4 linked regions of the Caenorhabditis elegans genome follow. The protein of the gene in region 2 interacts with the protein of the main gene of each other region in a pairwise test. Each region holds a gene or a part of one and is shown on either strand. Other genes may lie near its edges. The genes, in order: dpm-1, gly-5, prx-19 and ptr-2.

Region 1 (5,185 bases), on a different chromosome or scaffold from region 2:
GATTTCTGGATGAAAAACACACAAAAACCAATGTGCGCAGAATGTGCGCGGAAGGTGCGCGGAATGTGCGCATACGTCTACCGAGACAGTCACTGTTCTTGGTGAACGGCCAGAGTCACTATATTTGGGCCGTTCACCAAATATAGTGACTCTGGCCGTTCACCAAAAATAGTGACTCAGAAATGCACAGAAATGTGCAACAGAGTACGGCAGTGTGCGGCACACACACCCACTTTTTTTTCTGGAGTTTGCCGCTCATCGCCAGCTTTCCAGGGCACAATTCACAGCTCGGGGGTAGTCGTTGAAAGACGTTGAAAGCGCCCTGGAAAACTGGACCGATTTGCCGAGATATTGGTACAAAAATATAACATTTTTAACTCCCAACACTGGATAATCTGAAAATTTTAATCTCTTTTTGAAAATTGGATACATATTTCTTCTATTTTTCGGCATTTGCCGAGCTTTAATTATTCGGCAACTTGACACTTAGCCAACCAGAACATTTGTGCACAAATTGTTTCCAATTTTGTTGGCATCTTAAAAAATATTATAACGATTTATTCGAAGAAAAAATATAATTTAAACAAGAATGTTTGGAAACAATATAAATAGGAATCCCCAAGGTCATAATAAAAAAATTTGGAAAACGTACAATGAAGCGCTCTGGCTATAAAACTCTCAGAAATTTTAATTCTTAAAATTTAAATTAAAAATAGTAAAATGAATACAAATTATATCACAGAATCTACCAAACAAATGCAAACAGATAGAGAAGTCCTTTTGCGTAATCCACGATTTCCTGACTTCCGAGCTTTGATTCTCCAAAGAATCGATCGACGAATGAGATTGGTACCTCCCCAATACGATAACCCGATTTTTTCGCTCGAAACATCATTTCCATCTGCAATTCGGATTTTAAAAACATTAAAAAATCTTTTTCACAGTATTTTGTTATTAAAAAATCTTCTTTATATATATTTAACTTTGAATTTTCGAAGAGCCTCAGAATAAGCTTAAGTTTTGATTGCATTTCTGTTTCTTGATCAATAAAAACCTTTTTTCATTGGCTCCGGTTTTTGGTAAATGGTGTGCACGAGTTGCAGAAATATCTTTATTTTTCAAAATTTAAACCTATATTCACCTGAAAAACGTATCCTTTGCTTACACTTTCAGCAATCAACTTCGACAGAATATCTCTCTTATAAAGACGAAATGATCCTGTTAAATCAGATACACCTGGATTCAGCAGAAACTGAGCCAAAAAATTGGCTCCCTTGCTGATCGTCTTCCTCTTCAAATCCCATCCACTAACACCACCTCCGTCCTTGTAGCGTGTTCCTGTCACGATGTCGAGCTGAAAAATAAATAAAAAAATTGTATTTTTATGCTTAAAAAAGGCATTGTGTTGATATAAATGTGATGGTTTTTTAAATGTAATATTATGTCCTCTATTATCGGAAACTTGATATTAGGTGAGACATTATTTTCGGCAAACGCACAAAACTGGCGCATTTCAACATGATAATCAGGGGTGTGCGGATAACCGACTTTTTCGGCTAACAGATAGATCGGCTAATGCCGACTTTTTTGAAGCCGGCTAACGGCTATTCACTACAACTTTTTTCGAACGAGGGACGAGGCAAAAAGGTTTCTAGGCCATGGCCGAGTCCCCGACAAGTTTCAGCGGCCATTTATGTTGCTTTGTTTTCCGCGTGTTTTCTTTCGTTTTTCACCAATTTTCCCCATTTTTTCTTATTAATACTAATAAATAAATATTTTTTGCAGATGCTAAAACAATTTCCAAGTGAAAAAATTGTGTATTGAGTCTGTAAGTAACGGTGAAAGTGGTCAATGTAATATGATGGATTACGGGAACACAAAACCCAAACTTTTTCCCACACATGATACATATGCTGCTCTGATGCTGAAACTACCTGATTTTCATAACGAGACCACTGAAAAAGTTTTGAGGCTTTCAAAATTCAACTTTTTTGGTGAAAAAGTAGAGATTTTCGCACAAAAAGTTGAATTTTGAAAACCTCAAAACTTTTTCAGCGGTCTCGTTATGAAAATCAGGTAGTTTCAGCATCAGAGCAGCATATGTATCATGTTTGGGAAAAAGTTTGGGTTTTGTATTCCCGTAATCCATCATATTACATTGACGACTTTCACCGCTACTTGCCGACTGAATACATATTTTTTCATCTGGAAATTATTTTAGCATTAGCAAAAAAATTTATTTATCAGTTTTGATAAGAAAACACGGGAAAAATTGGTGAAAAACAAGAGAAAACAAAGCAAGTACAAAATGTCGTAAAATGCGGTGTTTTGTGTGCAAACACCGATTTTTCGCATTTTTTCTCGGCCCTCGTTCGAAAAAAGTTGCGGTGATGTTCACTATTTTTTAGCAAATTCAGTGATGAACGACTGTTCAAATAGAAAAAATCATATAAAACCCCAACATTTTTTCCAAAAAAAAATGTGTTAGTGAAATTAGCAGACCGGGAAATTGGGCTAAGATCGGCCAACATCGGCTACCGGATAACTTAAAGTTTAAATTAGCTAAACTGGCAGAAATTCGGCTGATAGTGAATCGGATATTATCAGCACACCCCTGATCCAACTGTGCCTGAAAGTTACAGTTTGCCGAAAAAACTTTTAACGGCACCTTTTCGTCAAACGACAATTTTCAGGTACTATTTGAGGACTTTTTTCAATTTTTTAACAGAAATATATGTTATTTTCAGATAGAACATGCTGTGTTCTACATTTCTATATAAATTTTAAATGCTTAACGTTGCATAATAAGTTCTTGCCATATTTTTCTCAAATTGGAAAACTTTCATCAAATTAACTATTATTTAACTAAAATAACATTTGTACACCTATAAATTTTGAAATTTAAAAAAGTTCTGTTTTTTTAACAATTTTTAGAAAAAATGTACGAATAATGTATACCTTATACTTATGTTGAAGCGCAATCATTTCCGGAATGAATTTTGGATGATGAGAAAGATCTGCGTCCATAAGAATGATAAATTCTCCACGTGCAAACGATAATCCATGTGAATAGGCTGTACCAAGTCCAAGTTTTCCAACTCGTGGCTTGATCAGAATCTTATCGTCTCCGTACTCCTTTTGAAGAAGTTTTGCAATGCCTTGAGTACCGTCTGGTGATGCATCGTCAACGATAATCACTTCATGTGAAACTTCTTTCAGATAATTTTCAATTAACCAAATGCAAATCGGCAAATTTTCTTTTTCGTTGTAGGTTGGCAGAATTATCGAATATTTCGGAGTGGATGTCATAATAATCTGAAACATAAAATTCCTTTTGAATAATCTGACTAGGGATCCCTGTAAAAACTTGGTGAATAAGAGAAACAAAAAGTATACCAATCGGAAGCTTGTGTTAAATACTGGCTACTCGAAATCAAAACAAAATTAATCGGTCTCAAAGTCTTAAAAACACTAGTGTCACTGAAAATTAAAGTTGGAGTACCGAAATCTAAGACTTTGCTTTTTAGAACCAAATGATTCAAAACTACCGAATTTCGTAATGAGAAGTTTTGAAATTTTCTCAAAAAAAAGTTATGGGTCAAAGTTTTAGAAAAAGCTCATTTTCAGCTAAAATCACATTTTTCCACCTTCTCGGTGTGACACCGTCTGGAACTAAATTTTTATTCAATTATCAATCTTTAATAAATATTATGGTCCTTTACTACGCGCTTATTCTTTGATTAAAGTACATTTTCGGTCAGTGGGTCACAAAAATGTACCTTTTATTGGTCCCCCCAATCGATTTTTTCACAGAAAAAAAATGATAAATTTCACTGTTTTTGAGCCAGAAATACGATTTTTTGAGTAAAAAACGTTGAAATTAAGAGTTTTCAGTGAAACTTCACGCTTCTTATCGCATTTTTCCATTTTTGAAGTCAAATTCGTTCTGAGATCGGGTTTTTTACCCGAAAATTCGCGTTTTTCTCGGAAAATGGCTGAAAATTCGGCGTTTATCGCTGAAAAATGAGGTTTTTAGAGGTTTTTAGCATATTAGTATTTTCAAGCTAATTTCGACCGGAAACTCGATTTTCCTCCACAAACTTCTTGGTTTCCTATCCACCAAGCTGTTACGGGGTTCCCTAGTGAAATAGAGATAATTGATATAAAATTGCGACTAAACGCACAAATCAATATTAATCAGATCGAGAATAAAGTCGATATTCATAGTAAATATAACGAAAACAAAAAATCTAACAAAAAAAAAGAAATACTACATGCTAATAACGAGATTTTTCTTATTTTTTCGTGGATTTCTGCCCGGGTGCCGACCAAAACTTCATATACTCCGACTCATCGAAGGTGTCATCGATAACTTCCTGAAAAAACCATTTTTAATTTGAAATCGTTAATTATATAATTACTGTTTTTGTGATCTTGGCTTTTGGTTTACGAGCAGCCAGCCGTTGTCGTCGTTCATCCTCGCTCAACTGTTTGAGGTCGACGGCAGATTGGAATGTCTGAAAATATGTACAATTAAAAAACTGATTAAATATAAAAACTGCAATTAAATATGTATTTTTCAAAAAGCAACCTGTCTCGGTTCAGCGGCGGGAACCATGATTGTCGAACCATCCGGACGGATAAATTTAACTTGGTACCGATGCAAGTAGTCTCGACGGCTGATTTTTCCCAAACTTGCTCTCCACGCATTATTTCTCTCTGAAAATGTGAAATTCACGCGGGAATAGTGATTTTGATTTAGGGAGAGGAAGGGGGAAATGGTTTATAAAAAGTCTGATTTTGAGGAGAAATGAATGGAAATAATAGTAATTGCAATTTTCACATGAAAAATGTTGTACGAAAAATGTTCTGCCACGTTTTTTTTTTGAAAATAACCTTCAAATGATATTTTTCGACCTTTTTCCTTTACTAACCTGCTGTGATGGCTTTTGAGCAGCTTGTTAGCAAGTTTCGCATGGAAATTTGAGTGTTCATCTGCAAAAACATTTAGAAATTCAAGAAAAATCACAGGAATACACTGAAAAATCAATAAGTTTTAATAAAGACGTGTATTTTTGACTTATTCGAGAGGAGTGCACAAACAAATTCTCAGCGGAGCGCGTTTGCGGCGCTCACTTTTCGTGTCACTTACGCGGCAAATGCAAATAAAATTAAAATAAGAAAT
Region 2 (4,893 bases):
CAAAATAAGACACTTTAACACCACGTGCGGAATTAGAATATCTCTAGAAACATTTTGGCGGGAATTCAAATTTCTATGGAAAAATTTTTGCGGGAATTCAAATTACTATGGAAAAAATTTGGCGGGAATTCAAATTTCTTCAGAAAAATTTCGGCGGGAATTCGAATTAAAATTGTGTATGCACCTTTAAGATTACTGTATAATGTTTTTTTTTCAAATTTTCTTATAATTTACAGATTTTTATAGCTAATTTGTGACCGAGTAGAACTTACTTACTTACTTAGTAACTATAAGAAAACAATAACAATTTTTCTAAGATCAATTTAAAGGCGCTCGCACAAAGTAATTTTGGAAAGGGTCTCACCGCGCCAAATGAATTTTTCAAATAATTTTTTTTCGCGTTCTCATTTTTCCTAGAAATTCCAGAATTTTTGTAGTAAAATTGCAAACATAAGCCCTTTTCGAAATATTTTTTTTCTTCATTAATCGAAAAAATAAGATGATTTGTAGTTTAGCCTAGCCTATAGACATTTTCGTTCCCCTCTCACTACAAGTAGGTGTCTCTGACATTCTCTTCTCCAACCTATTCGTCATGCTCAATTGAGCACGTCCGGGGCTCTTCTAACCAGCAAACAACTCCCCCCAGTTATGACCACGTTTCTCTTTTGTCTTCTGGGTTCACTATCAATAGAAGTTTCCATTTGAGAAGTATGCAAAGGGCGTGGGCGTCTGTTTGAGCAAAATGGGTGTGAATGGTAAGATGGATGATAAGGGGGAAATGATGTTTTTGACGTAAAAAATTTTATAATGTGGAGTATCGAAATCTTTTTAGAACAATTTTAAAATGACTCCCTGATTCCGATATTTAAGTGAAAAAAAAAACTGTGCTTTTTTTAAGGTCACTTTTTTTGTTATATCATTAAAAAAACTAACAAAATTTGTGATTTTTAGGCGGGAAAAGCATATATTTGGATTTTTCGTCCACGGGGTTCTGGGCATTTCTCATTGAATTTTCGCGCTCCATTGATAATCGCCTGCCGGACAGCGCGTGGAAAAGTGTCGTGTACTCCTCACGGACAGCAAACTTCAGTTTTACAACTAAAACGAGCCGCGACGCGACACGCAACGCGCCGTAAATCTACACAAAATCTCTCCGACCCAAAATGGCCTAGTTCGGCAAACAGCCAGAATTCCGTGGAATTCGTCGAGTTTTGACCTAAGAAATGGAAATTTTGTTAGTTTTTTGGCAAAATAATATTTAATTGACCTTAAAAAACGAAACTTTGGAAAAAAGCGACGAAAATGAAGATATTGAAAATCTCGTAAATCGACACATCGCGATTTTAAGCTGAAATATAATATCAGGGAAATTTTTTAGAATTTTTTCACTTAGATATTCGGAATCAGGGAGTCATTTAAAACTATTTCTCTCACAAAATTTCTAGGATACACGGAAAATCGAAATCGTGACTCATTGCGAACTTGAAACATTACAGTTCTCGAGCACATTTGAACTTGACCGAAACCACCGAAAAAAGTAAATATAGTGTGAGAGAGAGAGAGTAAGAGGTATTAGAGAAGCTAAAAAAGATAGTGGTTCTGTTCTATGCTCTCTTCTTATACACCCTCTTCCCTTCCCTTCCCAACTGTTCAAATATTATCGTTAACATGCCTTGCATGCTGCTGCTCATCGTCATTGTCCACGTCAACCTAAAATTTTTAATGTGAATTTGAATTCAGTATGCCTTGGGTCCGAAAAAGTTTGCATTATAAATTTCCTTGTTTTACTCGAATTTCCAATACTACTACTACTTTTCACAATTTAATTCGTTTTTTTTCAGGCAGCAAACTTATATTATCAAAATTGAGGGATATTGAAGCATAAAACGGAGGATTTTCGGTAGGTTACGGTACCCTGGGTCTCGGCACGACAAATGTTTGAAAAAAGGTGTGCGCCTTTAAAGAGTACTGTAATTTCAAACTTGTTCATTTGCGGAATTTTTATTGATTTTTTAGTTTTTCGATGAAAATCTATTAAATTATCAAATATCTAAAGTAAATTTCAAAAAGCTGAAAAATTAATTTTAAGGCGCACACCTTCAATGAGTACAAGGATTTGTCGTGTCGAGACCTGGATCTGTATTTCTGACGCAAAAATCTGAAAAGTGTCATATTAAACAATATTAAAGAAAAAAAAAGAAAAAAACTAACTAAAAAAATCTGTTTTAACATTGAAAACTTGATCATTTTGAGGTCAAACTAGAAAATATTGATTTTTCTTCGAATTTCTATTGATTTTTTTGTTGCTATTTATTAGTTTTCCTGAAAATTATAGTTTTTCCATCATATTCCTGCCAAAAACATGTTCCACCGATTTTGTCCACGTGTAGTACGTAGTTGTCGGTTTCTAGGTCACCACCCGTGTACTACACGTGGACGATGTGTCCTTATTTGGAGTTTTTGTCGAAAAATTTAGTTTTTACTGGTTTTTACTGAGCTGAATCGAAATATTTTGAGAAATTTCCCAATTAAATTAATCAAAAATTAATTTTTTTGCAGATACGGGTCGATTTTGCCGCTGAGAAATGATTATATTCAAGAAAAAGGCGATATTAAAAGTTCTCCTCTTGGTTCCAGTTTTTTGGATTTGCTCGTTGATTTTTTTCGCAGCAACCAGCAATGATAGTAGCCAGGTATCAAAAATCAAAAATAAAAAAAATAAAAATGTGATTAAAATCCCATTTTCAGATCGGATCAAATAACGATCTCGCGAATAAAATTGCGGAGGCGAATTTCCACCCGAAAGCCGCGAAACAAGACGTAATTCAAGGATTTGGGCCGCCGATTGAGCCGGAACCTGTCGTAGAGAATAATAAAGTGGAAGAAGAAGAGCAACCCGGCGGGAACTTGGCCAAACCAAAATTTATGGTCGATCCGAACGATCCGATTTATAAAAAAGGAGACGCAGCGCAAGCCGGAGAGCTTGGAAAGGCAGTTGTCGTCGATAAAACTGTGAGAATTTGATTATTCTTGAGGAATAACGGTTCTTTGAACTTGTGGACTCAAAATGTGCTCAAATTCTCAAAATTGCGAAAAAAATGAGCCAAAAATGACTTAAATTGGCCAAAAATTACCAAAAATGATTTTAAAAATGAAAATATTCCGTATAGATTTTTAATCATTTTAGGGCAATTTCGGTCATTTTTTACTGATTTTTGGCTGATTTTCCATCATTTTAAGTAATTTTAGTTAATTTTAGGCCAAATTTGGTTATTTTTGGTCATTTTTGGTCAATTTCTGTCATTTTTGGCCGATTTTTAATCATTTTTGGTCAAATTTGGTCATTTTTCAGAAATTTTTAGTCACTTCAGCGCTCGGAAATTGCCGAAAATTGGCCAATAATGACTAAAAATGACCGAAATTTGCCGAAAATGATTAAAATGTATATAATATACCGTATTTCTTCTATTAATATGGCCTCCCTATTAGACTTGCACTCCCTATTAGTATTGCTCCTTGAAAACCCTCCGAAAATTAGTATTGCAGTTAGTGTTGCACTCCCTAATAGTCTTGCATCTACTTTTTTTTTTTGGTACAAACCCACCCTACTAATTTTGAGATTTTAACAACATTTTTTGCCTACTTTGCAACAATTTTGGTAAAATTTCTATGAAATTGAAGTTATTGTACCTTTTTGTTGCAATTACAATCAAATTTTCTGAATTTTCACATAAGATTCGAGTTTTTTCAGGAAAAAAACTAGTAAGCTCAAAGTCAGAAAATGTTCTGAAAATTAGTATTGCACTCCCTAATAGTCTTGCACTCCCTATTAGTATTGCAAGCGGAAGACCATCGAAAAATATTATTGCAGCCATATTAATAGAAGAAATACGGTACATATTTTCGGTCATTTTTAATCATTTTTGGCCGATTTTCGATTATGCTTAGTCATTAAAAAAAAGACTAAAAAATTACCAAATTTGGTCCAAAATCACCAAAAATGACTGAAATTGGACAAAAATGAATAAAAATTTCTAAAATATTTAATATTTTAAATATTTATGTCATTTTTGGTCATTTTTCGCCTATTTTGGGCCAAATTTGGTCATTTTTCAGACATTTTTAATCACTTCAGTGCTCGGAAATTTTCGAAAATTGGCCAAAAATGATTAAAAATGATGTCTAAAATATTTTAAATATCAAGTTATTTTAAATATGAAATATTTTCGACATTCCTGGCCAATTTCGGTAATTTGTAGTCATTTTCAACCGACTGCTGATTATTTTTGGTCCGTTTAGGTATTTTTAGCAAAATTTAGAAATTTTAGTAATTTTTGGCCGAATTTTCATTTTTTTTTTTGGTCACATTAGGTAATTTTTAGGTGATTTTGGGTAATTTTTAGTCATTTTTATCCAATTCGCGATCATTTTTTAGCCACTCTAGGTCATTTTAGGCCGATTTCGGCCCCCAAAATCTAAGATTCTAGTGGAAATTAGTTCTTTTTTTTTCGAAATTTTGATGTTTTGCCTTTAAAATCAACGAAAAAAAAAAACTTTATTTTCTTTCTAATTTTCAGAAACTATCGACCGAAGAAAAGGCAAAATACGACAAGGGAATGCTCAACAACGCTTTTAATCAATACGCATCTGATATGATATCAGTACATCGAACTTTGCCAACTAATATTGATGCTGAGTGGGTTTTTTTTTATTCCAAAATTCATAAAAATCGAAAAATTAATTTTTTTAAATTTCCCTAAAAAACTGAAGTTTTTTTGTGATTTTCCGGAAAAAAAGAAGAAAAATCGAATTTTTTCAAAAAATTTTCTTTTTAAAAAAATCGAAAAATCGATTTTCTTGCAATTATCTGTAAAAAACGAGAAGTCGATTAAA
Region 3 (4,186 bases), 4.4 Mb from region 2:
AGTGTAGAAGAAGACGAGAAAGACTATGGTGCTACTCAAAGAGATAAAATCAAAAAGTGAAGAAGAAGTGGGAGAAAAGGACACACCCTCTCGGGAATTCACATGGGCGCCCTCCTCCGCCCTTTTCTTGGTTTGAAAGAGCATATGGTGAATGAGATATTGATATACAACCAGATAATGAAGATTTGTTTGAACTTCGAATTATAGTAATCTGAATTTTCAGTTAAAACTTTGGGAAAAGTTTATCCTAATGTAATTTTTTCAATGTTGTTATGGGGACTTAAAATATGCGTATTTTGAAATATGAGTGTAATCTCCAACGCCAAATGGGTCTTGTTAGGTATTGGTGTTTTAACAATTTGTTTCAAGATAAAACGTGAATGAAGTGTAACATAAAATAATTAGAATAACAAAAAAATTTGGCCCATGATCCGAGGGTACATCGGAATAGGGTACATCGAGCGATTTTTCGTTCTTGGGGTACATTCGAGCAAAGGGTACAATCATTCTTAGGGTACATCCACCTGTTTGTTCAGAGGGTACATCCATGGGATTTTCATAGGGTACATCGGCACTATGTTCCAAGGGTACATCCAATTTTCAAGGGGTTCAACGGAAATTTATAACTGAAATTTCTTAGAGTTGTGATTTCTCATAATCATTTTCGCATATTATCGACTTTTTTTCGGTTTTTTTACTGTCGATATTGAAAAATTCGGAATTAAACCATTGTTTTGTTTCTTGATTTCAATTTTATGAATTACAAAACAATGGTTTAATTCGAATTTTTCAATACGGCAGTTAAAAAAAGAAAAAAAGTGATAATATGCAAAAATGATTATGAGAAATCACAACTCTAAGAAATTTCAGTTATAAATTTCCGTTGAACCCCTTGAAAATTGGATGTACCCTTGGAACATAGTGCCGATGTACCCTATGAAAATCCCATGGATGTACCCTCTGAACAAACCGTTGGATGTACCCTAAGAATGATTGTACCCTTTGCTCGAATGTACCCCGAGAACAAATGTACCCTCAATTCGATGTACCCTTGGATCATGGGCCAAAAAATTTAGAAAACTGCCAGAAATGCTTAAAAAATTGGCAAAATAATTGAAAACGTTTTTATTCTCGGTTTTGCCGCCAAAACCTAATGAGACCCAAACTATATGGGCGGAGCGTTCTTATTTGCCTGAAAATATGGTAAATCTTTTGATTAACTATACCACACGTCGTCAACGTATGAACTCCTTCATATATTTTTCAACAACCCCAACATATGTGTATTACACTAGATTTGTGTAAATCTCCTACCGAGAAGCAGTTGTCCTTTTGCAAACAACTGATTGCGCAGCGGTTTAAACAAGAAACGACGAGCAGGCATTCGAATTTGAACTACCGCCAACAACTGTCGCAAGCGCGCTCCGTAGATAAAAACTTTTCCGTGATGTAATTTGTGAACGAAACTAGAATTTTTCAGCGCTTTTATTTAATTTTCAGTATATTTTTGAATTTAAGTTGATTTTATTGATTTTTAAAGTAATTTTATGACAGAAAAAGAATGTCATTCGATTTTTAAGTAGCTTACTATGGATCCCACCGAAATCTGAAAACATTGCGACCTTGCCATTCGATTTTTTTAATAATCATAGCAATTTTAACATATGATCCTTATCGATAAATCTGAACACATAAATAGTACACTGTACCCATTTGTTTTTATTTGATAAGAACACAACCTCCCGTGTGTTCACCGATTGTGTGTTTTATCGATCCAAAAGTACCCCCGCATTTCTCCTTTTCACTTATTTCCCCCTTTTCTTCTCACCGCCTCACTCTTTCGACTTTTTATTTTGCCTCTTTTTCAGAAAAAGATGACTGACGAAACAACCCAAAATATTAAAGACAAAACAGAGGAAGAGCTTGCCGCTTTGCTTGATCAAACTTTGGGAGAATTCACGGCGACACCAGCGTAAGTTTTAAATGTTTTTTAAGCCTAAAGTAAAAAAGTTTTAGTTTCTCATCCGTTTTATTTTTCAGACCAAAACCACGTACAACAGATGATGAACTCGATGAACTGATGGCTTCAGCTGATCAAGAAGCTGCACAAAAAGCTGCGAAAGACTTCCAGAAAATGCTCGAACAAATGGTGACTCTGCAAGAAGAAGCCATGAAAAAAGCTGGAGCAGATCCATCAGAAGGAGAAGGAGAACAGCCACTTGATCCAAATGATCCAGAAGCTCTTGCAATGATGGATGCATTAAAACAACTTATGGAATGCTCATCAAATGTTGCAAATGCTAGCAACCCAGAAGAATTTATGGCTGGTCTTGATATGTTACGTTCTCCAAATTCTCCAATGGAGCCATTTATGAGCATGATTATGCAAACTCTAGCTTCAAAAGAAGTCATGTATCCCCCACTTAAAGAAATTTTCGATAACTATCCAAAGTATTTGGAGGATAACGGTGCTGGTTTAGATGCTGAAACAAAGGAACGATATGAGAAACAATTCGAGGTTATTTTCTCACATTTGCAACAAAAATATAGAAAAAGCCAAATTATTTTTGTATTCTCGCACGACGAAAAATGACCAATTTCGAAATGTTCGTGTTTTCCGGCTATATTTATTGGTTTTCTTTCTATTTATTGACTTGAAACACAATTTCTCAAATTTTTCGACGAATTCTTTGAAACAAAAACCGAAAAATATTTAAAATACAAATCTATAATTAAGCATTATTTTCAACTGTTGCAGAAAATTTCTGAAATGTTGAAAAAAAATTATTTCAATTCAATAGTTAAAGAAAAACCTAACTCAAAATATTCAAAAATATGATTTTGTGCGGGAATTCAAAAATAATTCAGCTATTCGAAATTTTAGTGCAAAAACGTAAAAAAAATATATGTATTTTTAAATTTTTTTTTTGCCCAAATGACAAACAATAGTGTCACTTTACTCAATGTTTTTTTTTTCTTTAAAAAAAAATTTTCTAAAAAAATTTTTTTTCTAAAAGCTGTGAACAAGTAATATTTCTCCCAAAATTTACTATTTTTCAGGTTCTTGGAAAAATCTGCACAGAATTCGAAAAACAACCAGAATTGGCCGAAGTTCAACCTGTAGACGCAGCCACTCAACCTGCTCCCGAAGCGGATCCAGCATCTATCGAACATTTTGAGAAGCTTGGAAAGTTGCTCGTCGAGCTCCAACAATACGGATATCCACCAAAAGAACTTGTTGGAGCACTTCCAGATGGATGGCAAATTGATGAGTCTGGTCTTCCGAAAGTTGCCGATGCTGCAGCAGCAACTGAAGCGTGCTCAATTATGTGAATACTATTAACTATGTTGTTATATCAAATTGAAGCCAAAGAAATAGAATTTTAGAAAAAATAAACTTTTGTGTTTAAAAAACATAACTGTTTCCCATCAACTCTTCAATATGATAATCCCTGAATAGAAATGTCTCTTCCCCAGTGTAGCAATAAGTGTCCTCAGTTATTTTCCACATTTTCTAAGTCAGTTACTAGTTTGGTTTTTTTTTGTTTTTTTTGTTATGCTTCAACGAATAGATTTTTCTTTTAAAGTTCGCTTTTCAAGTGTGTGGCCAAATTATTTTCCAAATTACAGTCTTTTCCTTATATCCAAACATGTTTCAAATCAATAAAGATTTATGAATTTGAATTCCCTTTGAACACTTGATGATCACAATTAACTGTAATTGATATTTTTCAGAATCAGAAATTTATCTATCATTAATGAGACTACAAATATCATATTTTTAGAAAATAAATTTGCTTTCAATTAAATATTTCAGATGTCTGGACACTCATATGCTTCTGTAGTCGATCGAATTTATTCAAGAAAAAGTTCGGAACTTTATGATAATATTGCATATCTTCATCATCCAAGTGGTGTCACCGTTGTCGTTCTTCGAAATGTGAGATTTTTCTGAAAGGCACACTTAAAGGCGCATACAGATCTCACCCCGGAAAAATTCGGCGAAAAATTTGAATATTCTATTAAAACAGGCCTGGTGCGGTTTGATACATGCCGATTTACTAAGATTTGCGAACTACATACGGAAAAGTGTGAATTTATCTGTTTTGCAAAAAATACATTTTATAAAGAAAATTTTTTTATTATATGTATAGAAAACAATTCAAAATGTTTAGATTCCTGAAAG
Region 4 (5,751 bases), on a different chromosome or scaffold from region 2:
ATTTATTTCTCCAATACTATTAAACTTGAAAAAAAGTCTAGATGAAAATTAACAAATCTGTGAACTTTGGCATTTGTAGCGATCTCTATGACTGAGATCGTGACGAGACCCACTCAAAAAATCCCATGTGCTTTTGAAATTGCCAATTTTTAGCAAAATTACGATATTTCGGGAGCACAAAAATCTGAGAATGTGTATTGCGTAAAATATCTCGTAGCGAAAACTACAGTAAGTCTTTGAATGACTACTGTAGGGCTTGTGTCGATTTACGGGCTCGATTTTCGATATTAAATAATTTATTTTCCCTAGATTTTCTCAAATTTTTTTTCTCAAATTTGTTATTCAGTCGATAAATATAGAGCTCGTGAATCGACACAAGCGCTACAGTAATCATTCAAAGAATTACTGTAGTTTTCGCTACGAGATATTTTGCACGTCAAATATGTTGTGCAGTACGCATTTTCAGAATTTTTTGTTCCCATAATATCTATATTTTTCTCAATAACGTTGTTCAAATATCCTACTCAATGTAAATGTTTTTCATTCAATTTGATTCCATTCTCGACTTAACGACTCTTAACCCATTTCTTTTCGTCTTCAGAACCCTATTTACAAATTTGATTGCTTTAGGAGATATTTTTGTAAAACAGATATAGAAAAAAGTGACGTAAGAATTTGTTTAATGTTTTTTCGCGGCGCAATCTAGAATCTTCATCCAAGCTTCATCGAAAGTTTCCCAAAGTTCAAAACTTTAAAGAAAAATAAGTGGACTGCAGGCTTCTTCAATTTAGACAATTAAATATTTTCCCTTCAAGACGAATTACTTTCTCGAAATTTTCTACCAATAATCCATGCCAGACAGGCGCGAAAAATGGACCGGTATCGCTGCTGTTGCATTTAGAGGCGAACATCATCATGCCGAAAGTCGAATTTATCCCTCTCTTTTCTCTGTCTCCCTTTCTTATTCCCCTCACAGCTTTCACCCTCATCTGATGACACAACCGCAGAAGAAAGACCGGTATCCGCCTCTCCGATGACGCACGCGGACAGCGGAGATCGTCTTCTGACTGCAGCAAATCGACTGCTTGATTTCTTATATTTATTTCGTCTTGATCTATTATTTTGATCTACTCCTGTTGGTTTTGTCTTGTCTTCGGCGGTCAAATTTGGGTTTCGTGAGCGAACCACAAGATGTTTTAAAGTTTCCTCGTATTTCTTTTCTGTGATTTTCAATTTTTTTTTTCGAAATTTCAGAGCGTGTTCACATTTAAAGCAGTTGTAAAATGAAAACAAAAGTTTGCAGAAATTATTAATTCATTAATTTTCTTGTTTTTTGTGATTTTGTCTATTTAATAACGGCATTTTTCAAAATTAAAATTAATTTTTAAATTTAATTTAAATTCCTTGTCTAAACTTCACCATGACGAAAAAATGCACACAATCTGCATTTCCGGGTTACTGTAGTCATTTTTTCTTCTCAACTTTTTGTTTTAATTTTCTCCAATAATTCCTTCATTTTAGTTCATCTTTCTCATTTTTCTGTACCGGGCCACCTGCCAATAATTATTTCCGGATAAATACTGTGTAGCCTGTGTAGTCTGTAGTTTGTAGCCCACTATAAAACAGTGCGAGTCAGTCTTTCTTCCTTTCTTCCTTCCCTCGATTAAATCTCCTCTGCATTTTTATCTCACTCTCTTAATTTTTATTGTTTCTTTCTAATAATCGCCAAAATACTCTAATTTATTAATTTTCAGAAATGGCATGGGACTGTGTGGAGCGGCGTGCGGCGTCGCTGTTCCGACAGCTCGGATTCCTGATCTGTGACCATCCGCTTCCATTTTTCGTCTTCCCGCTACTCTTCACCGCCGCAATGGGAGTCGGACTTCTCCACCTGAATCCACTCTCCGACGCCGTTTACCTCTTCACACCACTCGGCGCTCAGAGCAAGATGGAACGAATGTCGATTCATGAGAAATGGCCACTCACCGACAATAATTATATTCCGGGACGAGCTGTGACGCAAAGTCGAGAAATTCAAGTCACAGCGCTTGCTCGCAACGATTCGAATATTCTTGATCCAAAATTTGCGAACGCAGTCTATCAACTCGACAAATATATTCAAACAAGAGTTCGTGTCCTTCACAATGGCCACTATTACAGCTACAAAAACCTGTGCCTACAGTATAAAAGTTAGTATTGCTCGAGAGTGTCATCATTTCCGGAAAAATTTCCTAATTTTCATATTTTTCAGATGGCGGTTGCCCTTCTAACAAGCATGTACATATTCTTTCCGACCTACACAATCATGGCTTCAATATTACTTACCCCTATTTTCGATTCGGATCAGAGTATGTTCAGATATTTTTTTTTCCAATTTTTGTTCGTATTTTCCAGAGGAGGATATATCGGAAGCAGTCTCGGAGGCGTCACTGTAATGAAAGGAGAAAATGAGACAGATATCCTTGCATCAGCGAAAGCCTGGTTCATGATCTATCATCTGAAGTTTCACCCAGAAGAAATGAGCTATATTTCGGGAGAATGGGAGCTAGAACTCGGCAGAATGCTCACCCAGTATCCAGAAGATCCATACATCTCTATCACCTACTTCCACTCTCAAACTCTAGCAGATGAGCTTAAGAGAAATGCGGATACACTGATTCCTCGCTTCATAATCTCCATCACCCTTCTCATCGTTTTCTCAACACTTTGCTCGCTGAGCTTCATCGACGGATCGTTCTCAATCGATTGGGTTCTCTCTAAACCGATTCTTTCCATTCTCGGAGTGGTCAGTGCTGGAATCGCTATTCTCACTGGCGTCGGATTCTTGTCATTGATGGGAATGCCATACAATGACATTGTTGGTGTCATGCCATTCCTCGTGCTCGCTGTTGGAGTTGATAATATGTTTTTGATGGTAGCAGCTGTGAGACGAACGTCTAGAACGCATACAGTGCACGAACGAATGGGAGAATGTTTGGCAGATGCTGCAGTTTCGATTCTTATCACGTCTAGCACAGGTAGCCCTAATTGAAATTGAATATTTATTCACAATCTTAATATTTTTTCAGATGTTCTTTCCTTTGGAGTCGGCGCCATCACAACTATTCCAGCCGTTCAAATATTCTGTGTATACACTGGAGTCGCAATTTTCTTTGCATTTATATATCAGGTGCTTATAATACCAAGATTCGATTTTTGTTCCGAAAATACAGTACCCGGTCTCGACACATTTCGTCAAAAAACTCATTTAAACCATTAGAAAATAGCAGAATTAATGAATAAAATCACAAAAATTTGAAAAAAAAATGAAAAAAGTTATCTTTAAAGAAGTGCATGTTTTTGAATTTGAAGACAAAAATTGTCGTGGTGAGACCTGGCACCAAATTCGCAAAATTTCGCGTCCGGGTAATATTTCCACGTGGCGAATTTCTGCTAACACACAAAAATCGTTTTTTTCAGGACCAAAATTTTGCGTCTCAATAATAATCGCTGTTTTCAGATCACATTCTTTGCCGCATGCCTAGCACTGGCTATGAAACACGAAGCATCCGGCCGAAATTCCCTCTTTCTCATCGAAGCTGTATCTGCCGAAAAGAAGACATCCCTGAGCACATTCCAACGATTATTCAATCTCGGAAGTGTGCCCGATCATTCTGCATCACACGATGTCAAACAACCACTGACCTCTCGTTTCTTCGGAGAATGGTATGCTCCAGTTCTGATGCATCCTGTGGTTCGTGGAATTGCAATGGTTTGGTTTGTGATCTATCTGCTCGGCGCCAGCTATGGATGCTCTCGTATCAAGGAAGGATTGGAGCCAGTTAATTTATTGGTTGAGGACTCGTATGCTATTCCACATTATCGACTTTTAGAGAAATATTTTTGGAAATACGGACAACAAGTGCAAATTGTGATAAATAATGCTCCCGATCTTAGAAATCATACATCTCGTGATCGAGTTCATGCAATGGTGCTTGACTTTGCGACAAGTAAGCATGCGATTGGAATGGAATCTGTGCAGTTTTGGTTATTCGAAATGGAGAGATATTATCAAAAAGAGTTGGAAGTTCAAATTATTGATTCCTCATTTTATGGCCTTCTTCACCATTTCCTAGCTTCCAAAACCAATAATCCATTGGCAGAGGATATCTACTGGGGACCAATGCCTGATGATGATAATGGAACGATGGTCAAAAGCTTCCGGTTTATTCTAGGAATGAAGGATTTAGTGACAACAATGGACCAAACCGACGCTACAATGTCATTTAGAGAGGTCGCTGCTCGATGGCCGGAGTTCAATGTGACCACTTTTATGCCAATATGGATGTTCACTGATCAGTACATTATAATTATTCCGAACACTGTTCAAAACATTATTATTGCACTTTTGGTGATGATCGTCATTGCCGTTCTCTTCATTCCACAGCCAATGTGCTCACTTTGGGTGGCTCTCGCTTGTGCTTCCATCGATTTTGGAGTGATTGGATACATGACGCTATGGGGAGTGAATCTGGATGCTATATCAATGATCACAATTATCATGTCAATTGGGTTCTCCGTCGATTATTCTGCACACATTGCATATGGCTATGTCGTATCCAGAGAAGATACAGCAGCTGGTAGAGTGAAAGAAGCACTATCAGCTCTTGGATGGCCACTGTCTCAGGGAGCTATGTCTACAATTATCGCGGTTTCAGTTCTTGCCGATATTCCAGCATATATGATAGTTACTTTTTTCAAAACGGTAATTCTTTTCAATTTTTTTATTCTTTAACTTTTCTATTTTCAGGTCGTTCTCTCAATTTCTCTCGGTCTTCTCCATGGTCTTGTTTTCCTTCCAGTATTGCTCTCAATATTCGTACGTGGATGTTGCATAATCCCTAGCTCACCGCATGGTCATCCCAGCGCTCAAAAAATCGAAAAGGTTTGATCTGAAATTATCACTACATTCTCATTTTCCCATATTTCAGCAAATCAGGATCGCCGCTATCTCGTCTAGTCCACTCGATTTGCGAACCGTTGCTCCGCTCCGCGCCTCGTCACCAATCAGCTTCCCGCATAGGCTTGAGTACACCGATGAATCTCCAACTGTACACAACAGATCAAAGAATTCTATTAAATCCGAGCACCTAGACTAGTCTTTCTTCCAATGACTCTCATTAACTAATTGAATACGTGTATTTGTAGAATATTGTGAATGTTCTACGTTGTTTTTAAATATATGTGAATGAATATCTTAATTGAAATTTTAAATATTATTAACTCTCGAAACATTATCAGTGAGTCTAGAATGGGAAGGAGACATTTTTAGAACAAATCGGTCAAAAATAAGAAAACGGATAATTGGATATTTAAGCCAACAGCCACCTATTTCTCAGTGCTACAAATTTTTACCAAAAGCTGAGGATTAATATGCGTTTCTTGAAATTAAACTTTAATATTTTTCAAGTAGCGAATAAAATCACAATGAAAACCTAAACTAATAGTAAGCGACAGAATTTTTAAGATTTACAATCGGAAACTCAAAATCAACTTTCCCGTTCTGATGTTTCACTTTTGACCATAAGTTTTCAAATAAAAACTTAAACTAGACGTATTGTATTTTAGAATATTATTTGCATTTCGTTTGTTCGTTGGTAAGTCACTGTTAACTTTCATAACAAGTTTATGAACAGAGAAAATCAACAATTTACTTATTCTCCTCAGCGGCCTCTCTGGCTCTCTTCTCACGCTTTCCACGGTATTTCTTGT

Evidence for each region.
Region 1: the proteins of gly-5 (region 2) and dpm-1 interact in a two-hybrid assay, tested with the Caenorhabditis elegans proteins (one large-scale study listed by BioGRID).
Region 3: the proteins of gly-5 (region 2) and prx-19 interact in a two-hybrid assay, tested with the Caenorhabditis elegans proteins (one large-scale study listed by BioGRID).
Region 4: the proteins of gly-5 (region 2) and ptr-2 interact in a two-hybrid assay, tested with the Caenorhabditis elegans proteins (one large-scale study listed by BioGRID).

The regions. Positions count from the first base shown.
Region 1 is NC_003282.8:443,807-448,991, reverse strand, and holds dpm-1 (Dolichol-phosphate mannosyltransferase subunit 1), read right to left. Parts: upstream 3,316-5,185; 5' UTR 3,310-3,315; coding exon 2,959-3,309; intron 1,355-2,958; coding exon 1,142-1,354; intron 902-1,141; coding exon 746-901; 3' UTR 543-745; downstream 1-542. Other genes in the region: mrpl-55 (39S ribosomal protein L55, mitochondrial), read right to left, coding at 4,296-4,376, 4,422-4,517, 4,592-4,719, 4,935-5,007.
Region 2 is NC_003281.10:13,185,551-13,190,443, forward strand, and holds the start of gly-5 (Polypeptide N-acetylgalactosaminyltransferase 5), read left to right. Parts: upstream 1-1,841; 5' UTR 1,842-1,900; intron 1,901-2,559; 5' UTR 2,560-2,585; coding exon 2,586-2,693; intron 2,694-2,748; coding exon 2,749-3,012; intron 3,013-4,577; coding exon 4,578-4,696; intron 4,697-4,893. UniProt on the Caenorhabditis elegans protein: Catalyzes the initial reaction in O-linked oligosaccharide biosynthesis, the transfer of an N-acetyl-D-galactosamine residue to a serine or threonine residue on the protein receptor.
Region 3 is NC_003281.10:8,806,978-8,811,163, reverse strand, and holds prx-19 (Putative peroxisomal biogenesis factor 19), read left to right. Parts: upstream 1-1,868; 5' UTR 1,869-1,874; coding exon 1,875-1,972; intron 1,973-2,040; coding exon 2,041-2,518; intron 2,519-3,060; coding exon 3,061-3,333; 3' UTR 3,334-3,682; downstream 3,683-4,186. Other genes in the region: F54F2.7 (uncharacterized protein), read left to right, coding at 3,818-3,940, 4,176-4,186.
Region 4 is NC_003279.8:3,788,801-3,794,551, reverse strand, and holds ptr-2 (SSD domain-containing protein), read left to right. Parts: upstream 1-1,754; 5' UTR 1,755-1,756; coding exon 1,757-2,189; intron 2,190-2,251; coding exon 2,252-2,348; intron 2,349-2,394; coding exon 2,395-3,017; intron 3,018-3,068; coding exon 3,069-3,169; intron 3,170-3,499; coding exon 3,500-4,744; intron 4,745-4,789; coding exon 4,790-4,924; intron 4,925-4,970; coding exon 4,971-5,138; 3' UTR 5,139-5,243; downstream 5,244-5,751. Other genes in the region: rpl-13 (Large ribosomal subunit protein eL13), read right to left, coding at 5,690-5,751.